Linked DNA regions of Schizosaccharomyces pombe. Changing the gene in region 1 together with any one later gene gives a genetic interaction. Each region holds a gene or a part of one and is shown in the gene's direction. Other genes may lie near its edges.

Region 1 (5,730 bases):
GCAAGATTCGCTCCATCGCTTTGAACTCGAAAAACGCAAGTACCGTTTTTTTCTGCTATCTCTCTTGAAAGACTTCCAAAATCTTGTCTCACAAAAATTTTGAGACCACCATGCACGAATTTAACACGATTACGATTGTTCTCAATTACGTTTCTGAAAAGATCGTTGGAAATATAAATGGCTTTCGTAGGGACACCATTGACATTTCTAACGAAAAACTGATTCTTCTTTATGATAGCTTCATCAATGCCAAACTTCTTATAGATTTTCTCGAGAGCTTGATCGTCCTCTTTTATATACACGAAAGGATCCAATTCGTGAAATCGATTGCCCCCATTTTTTCCTTTTGGTTTAACTTCGGCTAATTTTGAATCCGAAGATGTTTCTTGAGTATCTTGTTTACGTTTTTTTGATGCTTGTTCACTTGGCAACTTTTGTTCTCGTAAAAAAACCTTGTTATCGTCGACGGCAGTTTTCATAGAGCTAGTAAGATTTTCATATTTTTCTAAAACTGCAACAAAAAAGCCTCCAGTATTTTGGAAATGTGGATAAATACGTAAGCAATTTTGAATATTCAGCTCAGCAAGTTCTTTCTTTGGTAGTGGCCATAAAGTAGGAGGCATTTTTTCGTAAAGCTCCTTTGGCAAGGTATCAAATGAAGGATAAATATTTAGATCGGAATCACAAACTACCCAGTTATCAACACCTTGACTACGTTTTAACTGAGGAAGCTCCGAACTAACATCCACCAACCTTACAGAACCTCGGGTAGCATTCAAGACAGCAGAAACCACTGCCTCATTTTCAATTGGATTTAATGAACATGTTGAATACACCAATCTTCCTCCTTTTTCCAACAGTTGTAAACCTCTCATTAAAATCTTAATTTGTGTCGCGTGAAGCCCTAAAGCTGTTTTCAAAGACCACTCATTCCATAAAGCAATGTTTTTTCTAAAGGTTCCATCTCCAGAGCATGGGACATCAGCAAGGATACGATCAAACTTAAGGAACTTTTTACCGTCGGGAGAAGATAGATGGAAATTCGGCAAAAAGGAAGCATCGTGATTAACAATTAACACATTTGGAGAATTTAATCGCTTAATCTGATGTACAAGCATATGCGCTCTTTTATTGTCACTATCATTTGCAATAACAATTCCTGAAGGCAACAAAGTAGTAATATCTTCTTTCTTAGTTGGTTTGTGAAGTGCCTCGAGTAATTGAGCTGTCTTAGAACCAGGCGCCGCACACATGTCCAAAACTTTGTGGTGACTCTCTACATTAAGAAGTAATGGTGGAACCATACTTACAGATTCTTGCCTGTTTATGTCACCCGCTTCTGTTTCAAGTACAAGAAATTCTTGAAGTGCCTTGAGATGAGGGCTTTTTCGAATAACTTCCTTAGAAATGTCCAGCATAAAAGCCATTCCATCAGGATACCATGGAAGTGAAACTGGCAAGGGGATTTTCGCATCCTCAGTTCTTGCATTCTCAATGAGTGGATAGTAGTGTTCTATAAAATAATCACGAACTTGAGTAGCATGACTTTTAAAATGATTAGAAACAAAAAATAATAATGTTTTTACTTACGGAATCGATGCAGTTATTCGAAATGTTGTCGGGAGTTGTTCAGTAAGCTTTTGCTTTAAAAGGATAAAGTCATCCTCCGTCACTAATTTCTGAAGCCTGTAGTACTTTTCAAAGTTTTCATTTCTATCTAGTAAGTAAACATAATCTGAAGTCATGACTCACTTTCTCTCAATTAAATCCCAGTTTACAAACTCCCCTTTTTTAGACCTCTATTTAATACACATTAGTAAGATAAAAAATAAATTAATTTCGTACTAACATTTTTTTTACTAGAATAATGCTTACGACCCATCTTAAACTCCTCCTTTTCCTTATCAACGTATCGAGTTGGTACAAGACAAGCAATTTTCAATGCTGGATAGTGCGTATTTTGTTAGCAGATTACAAAATTACTTTGACCTATTTTCAAGGAAAAAACTCTCAAAAATATTTTATTGAATTAACAAGAAGTTATATTGTCTGCTTTGCGACATTTTCTACAGATCTTGGATAACTCAAGAATTTACGAATATTGCACATTGTTATTGTGGATTTGCTTCGCACCTAAGTGAGATTATGAGGGGTTGTACATGAATTACTAAAAATGAAACTGTACGAGTGCTTACTTTTAAACATCAATCTTATATTATCTTAAAATCTCGAATGTATAAAGACTGTGTTTGTGTTGGTTGACTTAATTTAGCGTGTTAGGTCTTTTTGACAACTACAACCATTTCATGTTCGATTTAGAATATCTCAAATTTAGTTAAACAGAAGTTTGACTATAAGACGCTTTTAATAACTTTCAACGTTTGATTTTAAATAGTTAAGACCACTTATTAACTTTGTCAAATTAACTTAATGCACTTTCACATCCAACTCAGGATTTAAATTTCAAAACAGGATTACTCTTTATTTTGTTTTCTTTATTCTTTAGTTAAGTTTTGTTAATCATTCAATTTTTTAATAGTCAACCACAGCTTTTGGGTGTTCCTGACGACAAAAATGAATGTTAATTCTTCTGCGTTCGAGAGAACCAATAGGTTCCCTTCTTTTCCTGTTTTAAAAGACGACCAAAAGACAAGTTCTGATTCAATTGCTGCAGCTAAAAAAAAAGATTTGTTATCGCTCATTTCGAGTAAATCTTTGCTATCATCTGAAACACTAGGATGGTTTTCTGTAATTTGTGCATTCTCCATTACTGGTTCTGGTCTTGAAGTCAATACCATGTCGATTCCATTTTACCTTATTTTTGGCATCTTTGCTTTTGTCAGCTTTACTACTCAATATTTGGGCATCTATTCATTTTCGTTCCAACCTTTTCAGTTATTAAATGTAATAATCGCTTCTTTATCGATGGTATTCATAACTTTAGGTGCCTTTGTACTTGGAACTCTAGACACGACTTGTTTGTTATTGCTAGCTTTCAAATTATTTTTTATTCGTAACGATCCTACACCATTTAATGCCAGATCTGCTAATTTGAAGAACTATATAGCATTTCCAATATGTCTTTTTGTCATTAATCATATCCTAATACTGTTGGGTTATTTCCAATGTTCTTATTCCGTTTTTTATGCCAGCGTTTTTTATATACTTCTTGGTGTCTTCATTCGAGTCTTTTACCTTGTGAACAAAGAGAAGTTTGAAAAGAAGGAATTGGCATTCCTTTTTTCTTCTATCGTTGTGGCTTGTCTCATTCAATTTAATGTCCTTCCGCTTGGAACAATCAATCTATCAGTCACTCGTTTTACCATTCTTTGTTTTATGCAAATTTTTTGCATCAATTGGGATGGAATTGCCAGAATTCAATTTTACTTGGGAAAATTCGATATTTCTTTAATTATGGCCCTAATTTCTGCCATTATTAACAAGACAGCTTCTCAAAATTCTATCAAGATCATATCATGCCTCTATCAAGTAGGATTTTGCTTCTTTAAAATTGGTTCTTCTATAACAGCAAACTTGAAGCTTCCTGACAACAGCCGTATTTACCGACTTTACAATGATTTCATAGTGAATGGAGTGCTTGCCGATAAAGAGTCAAGAAGCATATTTTATTTCTTCCTTTTAAATGTTTCTTATATGTTTGTGCAAGTTATTTATGGTCTTTGGACAAATTCTTTGGGGCTTATTTCAGACGCAATTCACATGGCTTTTGACTGTATTGCTATTCTTGTCGGTTTAGTTGCTACGACGCTTGCCAAGATGCCTCTAAATTATGCTTACCCCTTTGGATTTGCAAAAATTGAGGCTCTTTCGGGTTTCACTAATGGTATTTTTTTAGTTTTGATTTCATTTTCTATCGTCGGCGAGGCATTATATAGGTTATTTCATCCGCCCCAAATGAATACCGACCAATTGTTGTTGGTTAGTTTTTTGGGCCTTGTTGTGAATTTGGTAGGTATCCTAGCGTTCAATCATGGGCATAATCATGATCATGGGTCTCATCACCATCATTCCCATAGTAATCATAGTATGTGTCTGCCTAACACTACAAATGATATAAATATTTTTGAAGAGTTTGAAGAAGAAAAAGATAATGTTGAAGCCCAGAAAATGGGCTATACGAATGACGATCACGTATCCCAACATGAACATACCCATGAGAATAGTCAGGAACATCACCATGAGCATAACCACAATCATGATCACATCCATAAATACAATGAAAAATGCGACCATGAAAGCATAAGTCTCCAGAATTTAGACAATGATCATCACTGTCATCATCACCATGAAAATCATAATATGCATGGCATATTTCTGCATATTATCGCAGATACTATGGGCTCTGTTGGAGTTATTGTCTCTACTATATTAATACAGTGGTTTTCATGGACCGGTTTTGATCCTTTGGCATCTCTAATAATTGCTGCATTAATATTTGTTTCTGTACTTCCATTAATTAAAGATTCGGCGAAGAATTTGCTCTCTGTGACTGATCCAGAATCGGAATATTTATTGAAGCAGTGTTTGTCGAACATCAGTTTAAGTAACTCCGTTATCAGTTTATCCAACCCTAAGTTCTGGACAAACGAAAGAGGTGAAGTGTATGGAATACTCCATATTCAGGTGAGCATAGACGGTGATTTAAACGTGGTTCGTAATGAAGTATTTAGGAAGCTCTCAATCGCTGTACCAAATTTAAAACACATTTGTATACAATCTGAACGGCCAAACAATTGCTGGTGTGGAAAATAGTTCTTACATCAGTTGATATCCATACTTATTTACGTGTAATTTTAATTAGATGAATTAATATTTTCTTTATTAGCAAAATTCCCATTATTTACCCAATCTTTATAATAGTGTTTTGAAGGACAGACTTTCTAAAAAAACCCCGAGGTCACTTTTTTGACACTCAATCACACTTGCTTCAAAACAGTCCATTTGCAAAGTAGCAGATGTCATGTTTGCAACCTCTTGAAATGCAACTCCAAAACGATTGTGTCCATGACCGTCGTCATCATCGTCATCTTCATTGCTAGTAAAAGCGGAAGTAGAAGTTCCAACTATTAAGTACCTATTTTTTTCCTCTACAAAAGCTGCTAAAACAAGAGGAAGATGTCTAAGCTTTCCAAATTCTCGTTCTTGCTCCTTCAAGTGTTAGTCAAACGTTAAAATCAATAGACACTTACATTAATAGCTTCAGCAATCCAAAGACTCATCTTTGTTAACGCAAGGGGATGCATAAATATTTTCAGATCTGGTCCTTCGTTGATAAGTCCAAAACGAAAAGATCTCAACGTTTTAATGGCTCTTTTTTCAAGTAAGGTGATTCCAGTACGAACAATGGCTCTTTGTAAGTGCATTGCTAACTTCAATGCTCTTTCTAATGAATCGACATCGTCCAAGGCGTCGTATGCATCATAAAAATTGTGCAACCATTCTTGATTTTGAGCATTTTCAAACTTCTCCAAATATTCTTCCTCCGTCATATCCGGGCTTCGAGCGACAGTTTTGCTTTGAAGCAAAACACCTGTATTACCCATTTCTAATAATGCACTGATAGCATAAGAAACGTCACTTGCACTAAGTGTACATTTGAATCCATAAGTCCGAGTAAAACTATGGAATATCACATCGTCTAAACCATAAAACGGTGCAAATCTTTTAAGACTACTTTTCAAAGTTTTTTTTAAATCCATGTTCATGTGA
Region 2 (3,677 bases), on another chromosome or scaffold:
ATTCTTTGAAAAATGTAATAGGTCTGTAGAATGCAGGAACACTCTTTTGTCCGTTCATCGTACTGCATCTTTACGTCACGACTCTGAAACTCAAGCTATGGTTTTGACATTACTTCTTCGGAATTATATTCAGTTTAACCTATATGATCAAGCAGACCGTCTCGTTTCGAAAACATCCTTTCTTACGAATGCTAGTAATAACTTGGCAATTCGCTACCAATACTATTTGGGTCGAATTCGCGCCATTCAACTTGACTACACGACCGCTCATGAACATTTAGTTAGTGCTATACGTAAGGCTCCCAACACAGTATATGCCGTTCAATTTCTGGAAGCTGTTTACAAATTGCACATCGTCGTACAATTGCTTATGGGAGAAATTCCCGAACGCCGCATTTTCCGCCAAAAATCTCTCGAAAAAACTTTAGTGCCTTACTTACGTATTAGCCAGGCAGTTCGTATTGGTGACCTTTGTGCTTTCACTGACGCGCTTTCCAAGTATGAGGCTGAATTTCGCTTCGATGGATTGTATACTTTGATATGCCGCCTTCGCCATACCGTCATTAAGACTGGATTGAGGATGATCTCCTTATCTTATTCCCGTATTTCCCTTCGTGATGTTTGTATAAAGCTTGGTTTGGACAGTGAAGAGAGTGCCGAGTACATTGTTGCTAAGGGCATCCGTGATGGAGTTATTGATGCAAGTATCGATCATAGTAATGCCTTTATGGCTAGTAACGAAGCCATGGATATTTATTCCACCGAGCAGCCTCAACAAGCTTTTCATGAACGTATTCAGTTTTGTCTTGCCCTTCATAATGACAGCATAAAAAGTATGCGATATCCCATGGATGCTCACAAAAGTGAACTCGAAGGTGTGGAAGAGGCACGTAGGCGTATGGATAAAGAAATGGCTGAGGCAGATTTAGATGACGATGAGCCTGATTTGGGCGAATTTTAAAAAACTTATGGAAAGTTTATAGATCTTAAAATATACTTTCAAAGTTGTTCAGTTGTATGTTTCTTTAATGTCTATGAAAACTATATGTAGTTTACAGATTGAAATATTTAGTGAGTTTGCGAAGCTGTAACAGAAGGAAAGTTGTTGAAAAACAGTTTTCGATCGGTGCTACAACGCTACAAATGCGTTTGTTGTTTAAACTGAGACTTGGTCTTTGCACATTGTAATAAATGAGTAATACGCTAAAAACACAGGGGTTTGGAGAATGGTCGTGTGCTTTATTTTCAAATTTGTTGTTTTATATTTCGTATATAATACACGTATGCAAACACATTTATGGTTATGCTGTGAAGCAATACAGATTTGATCTTGGATTATGGTTCCAATCAAAGGTATACTTTAGTCTTTTTAATTATAAATGGCGAAATGGGCAAAAAATTTTTGTGCAAATTTATTTTTTGTTATGCATAACTAGAGCAAATAAAGCAATGCTATAAAATGGCTTCCGGCAGAAAATAATAACCACAGTGGATATAAGCTAGTTTTCTAACGTGACTTAAGTAACACTTTATAAAACCAAAGCTATACATTAGTCTCTCCCATTACCACTTTGTCAATTTTAGCTAAGTTAGTAGATATGATCAACACTATATATTTAAAGTGGAACGGCAAGCTCATTTTTTACGTTATAGTAATTTAACAATTTTGTCGATATTTTGAGCAATGGTGTATTCTGCTGTGGTCGCTACGGCGCATATCATCAAATATCGCCTGTCCGGTTTCTCTATTCGCTAAATACGGGAAGATACTGATATAGTCTATATTGTATTTCACAAGTAAAATAGTTTCTGAGTTAGCCATCATGTCGTCAGTTAAACTGATCCTCGTTCTTCAGTTCACTTACAAGCTCTTTTATTGATAAATCGTTATAATACCGCCCCCATAATATAATATCTGTAATTCTCTTTAATTTTGCCCTATTTGTAATACAATAGTATGCTGGATCCCGAAAAAATTTATCGTAACGTAGCGTATCCTTAAAAGGATAACAAACTGTTTAGCGGGTATTTTGCAGGTACAAAGCAAGTTGCGCCATCCTGAAAAATTGCTTACTCAGACAAAGTCGAACTCGTGTGATTTAGTGCATCCATCGGTTATATGTTATTTCTACCTCCGTCCACGTTCTTCCACGAGCAAACTACTGACTTTGTAAAATCGCAAAAGCAAACCAGTAACGATGGCTTTGAAAAGAATTAACCGTGAATTAGCTGATCTTGGAAAAGACCCACCGTCTTCTTGTTCCGCCGGCCCTGTTGGCGATGATTTATTCCATTGGCAAGCTACAATCATGGGTCCTGTAAGTCGCGGCTGTAATAGTGCCTTGCGCACTGCCAAAATTTTGCTTGCTAGGATTGTGCAGCTAACATGATATATAGGCTGACAGCCCTTATGCGGGTGGTGTCTTCTTCTTGTCCATTCATTTCCCTACGGACTACCCATTCAAGCCACCAAAGGTATGTAACTATTTAGTCTTGTGTAGATTATGTAAATACGCATTGTAAGCTTGTGAATCGGAGGAGGAAGTTTGTTATATACAATATGAATTGAAGAGTTGATTGCATCTTGTTTTTCTGGAAAAATCGGTATGGTTGACAGTGATGCAAAATTTTTTAAGTGTTATGGTGAAAGAGTATACGCAGAAGTTTTTTTATAATTGTTTACTCTTACCTTTTATCTTCATTTCTTTATGTTTTACCAGCGGAACTTTATCGATTTTTATACGATTGCGTCCATCCAAGTGAAGCGAGGGCAATTACATTGCGTAGCATTACGAATCTGATTGATAGTCTTTTTTTTTTAATGATAACTAACAGCATATTCGTAGGTAAACTTTACAACCAGAATCTATCATCCCAACATCAATTCAAACGGTAGCATTTGTTTGGATATCCTTCGTGACCAATGGTCTCCAGCGTTGACTATATCAAAGGTATTACTGTCTATCTGCTCATTGTTGACAGATCCTAATCCTGATGATCCGCTTGTGCCTGAAATTGCGCACGTCTACAAAACTGACAGATCCCGTTATGAATTAAGTGCTCGTGAATGGACTAGAAAATACGCAATCTAGAGTTTGTTTCTGTGTTGATATTAAATATTCATCTCTTTTGCGAATTGTTTTCTCCAATGTATTGTATAGTTTTTTTTTTTTTTTTTTGGTTTTGGTTTTTTAAATAAATAGTAGGGGATGGCGATAATGTAGCTAGTAAAGTTGCATCGTAAAATTGAGGATACAAGCTGCCTTTAAAACAAACTGTATTATGTTCGAGGATAAAGTATGATTTGATTTAGATAATTTTTATGATTTTTTGAATAGTACAAAATTTTTCTTTGTGTTTAATAAGACCGAATGGGTCCAGTTGGATTATTCCAAGAGCGTTTGTGCATATATTTTTAAAAAGGTACGTAAACACTGCCGATTAAGTGAAATATTGTGCAAGTAAAAGTAGAATAACACGAATGGAAAGTCGTGTTACGAAGAGAGTAAACGGCTCTACGTCTTTAAGGTTTTGCTAAAAATATTTATTAAACAAAACTAAGTAATAAACAAATTCCTTGTAGCGCCTTTTTGCTGAAAAGAAAATGATAATACTTGACATGCAATACGAAGTGATACTGCTATAGACACAACTCATAATAGCCAGTCAATTCAACT

The links.
Region 2: of cis4 (region 1) and ubc4, extra expression of one rescues a mutant of the other (dosage rescue), as found in Schizosaccharomyces pombe (one study listed by BioGRID).

Annotation. Positions count from the first base shown.
Region 1 is NC_003424.3:4,725,903-4,731,632, reverse strand, and holds cis4 (Golgi zinc importer, CDF family, Cis4), read left to right. Parts: upstream 1-2,291; 5' UTR 2,292-2,574; coding exon 2,575-4,773; 3' UTR 4,774-4,851; downstream 4,852-5,730. Other genes in the region: trm401 (tRNA (cytosine-5-)-methyltransferase), read right to left, coding at 1-1,545, 1,591-1,713, 1,753-1,799, 1,850-1,882; DNA replication pre-initiation complex subunit Cdc45, read right to left, coding at 4,873-5,169, 5,211-5,730. UniProt on the Schizosaccharomyces pombe protein: Probable zinc transporter involved in Golgi membrane trafficking through the regulation of zinc homeostasis.
Region 2 is NC_003423.3:713,135-716,811, forward strand, and holds ubc4 (ubiquitin-conjugating enzyme Ubc4), read left to right. Parts: upstream 1-2,150; 5' UTR 2,151-2,198; coding exon 2,199-2,318; exon of another isoform or gene 2,319-2,397; coding exon 2,398-2,475; exon of another isoform or gene 2,476-2,633; intron 2,634-2,846; coding exon 2,847-3,092; 3' UTR 3,093-3,177; downstream 3,178-3,677. Other genes in the region: 19S proteasome regulatory subunit Rpn3, read left to right, coding at 1-961. UniProt on the Schizosaccharomyces pombe protein: E2 ubiquitin-conjugating enzyme that catalyzes the covalent attachment of ubiquitin to other proteins. Mediates the selective degradation of short-lived and abnormal proteins. Mediates ubiquitination of pex5.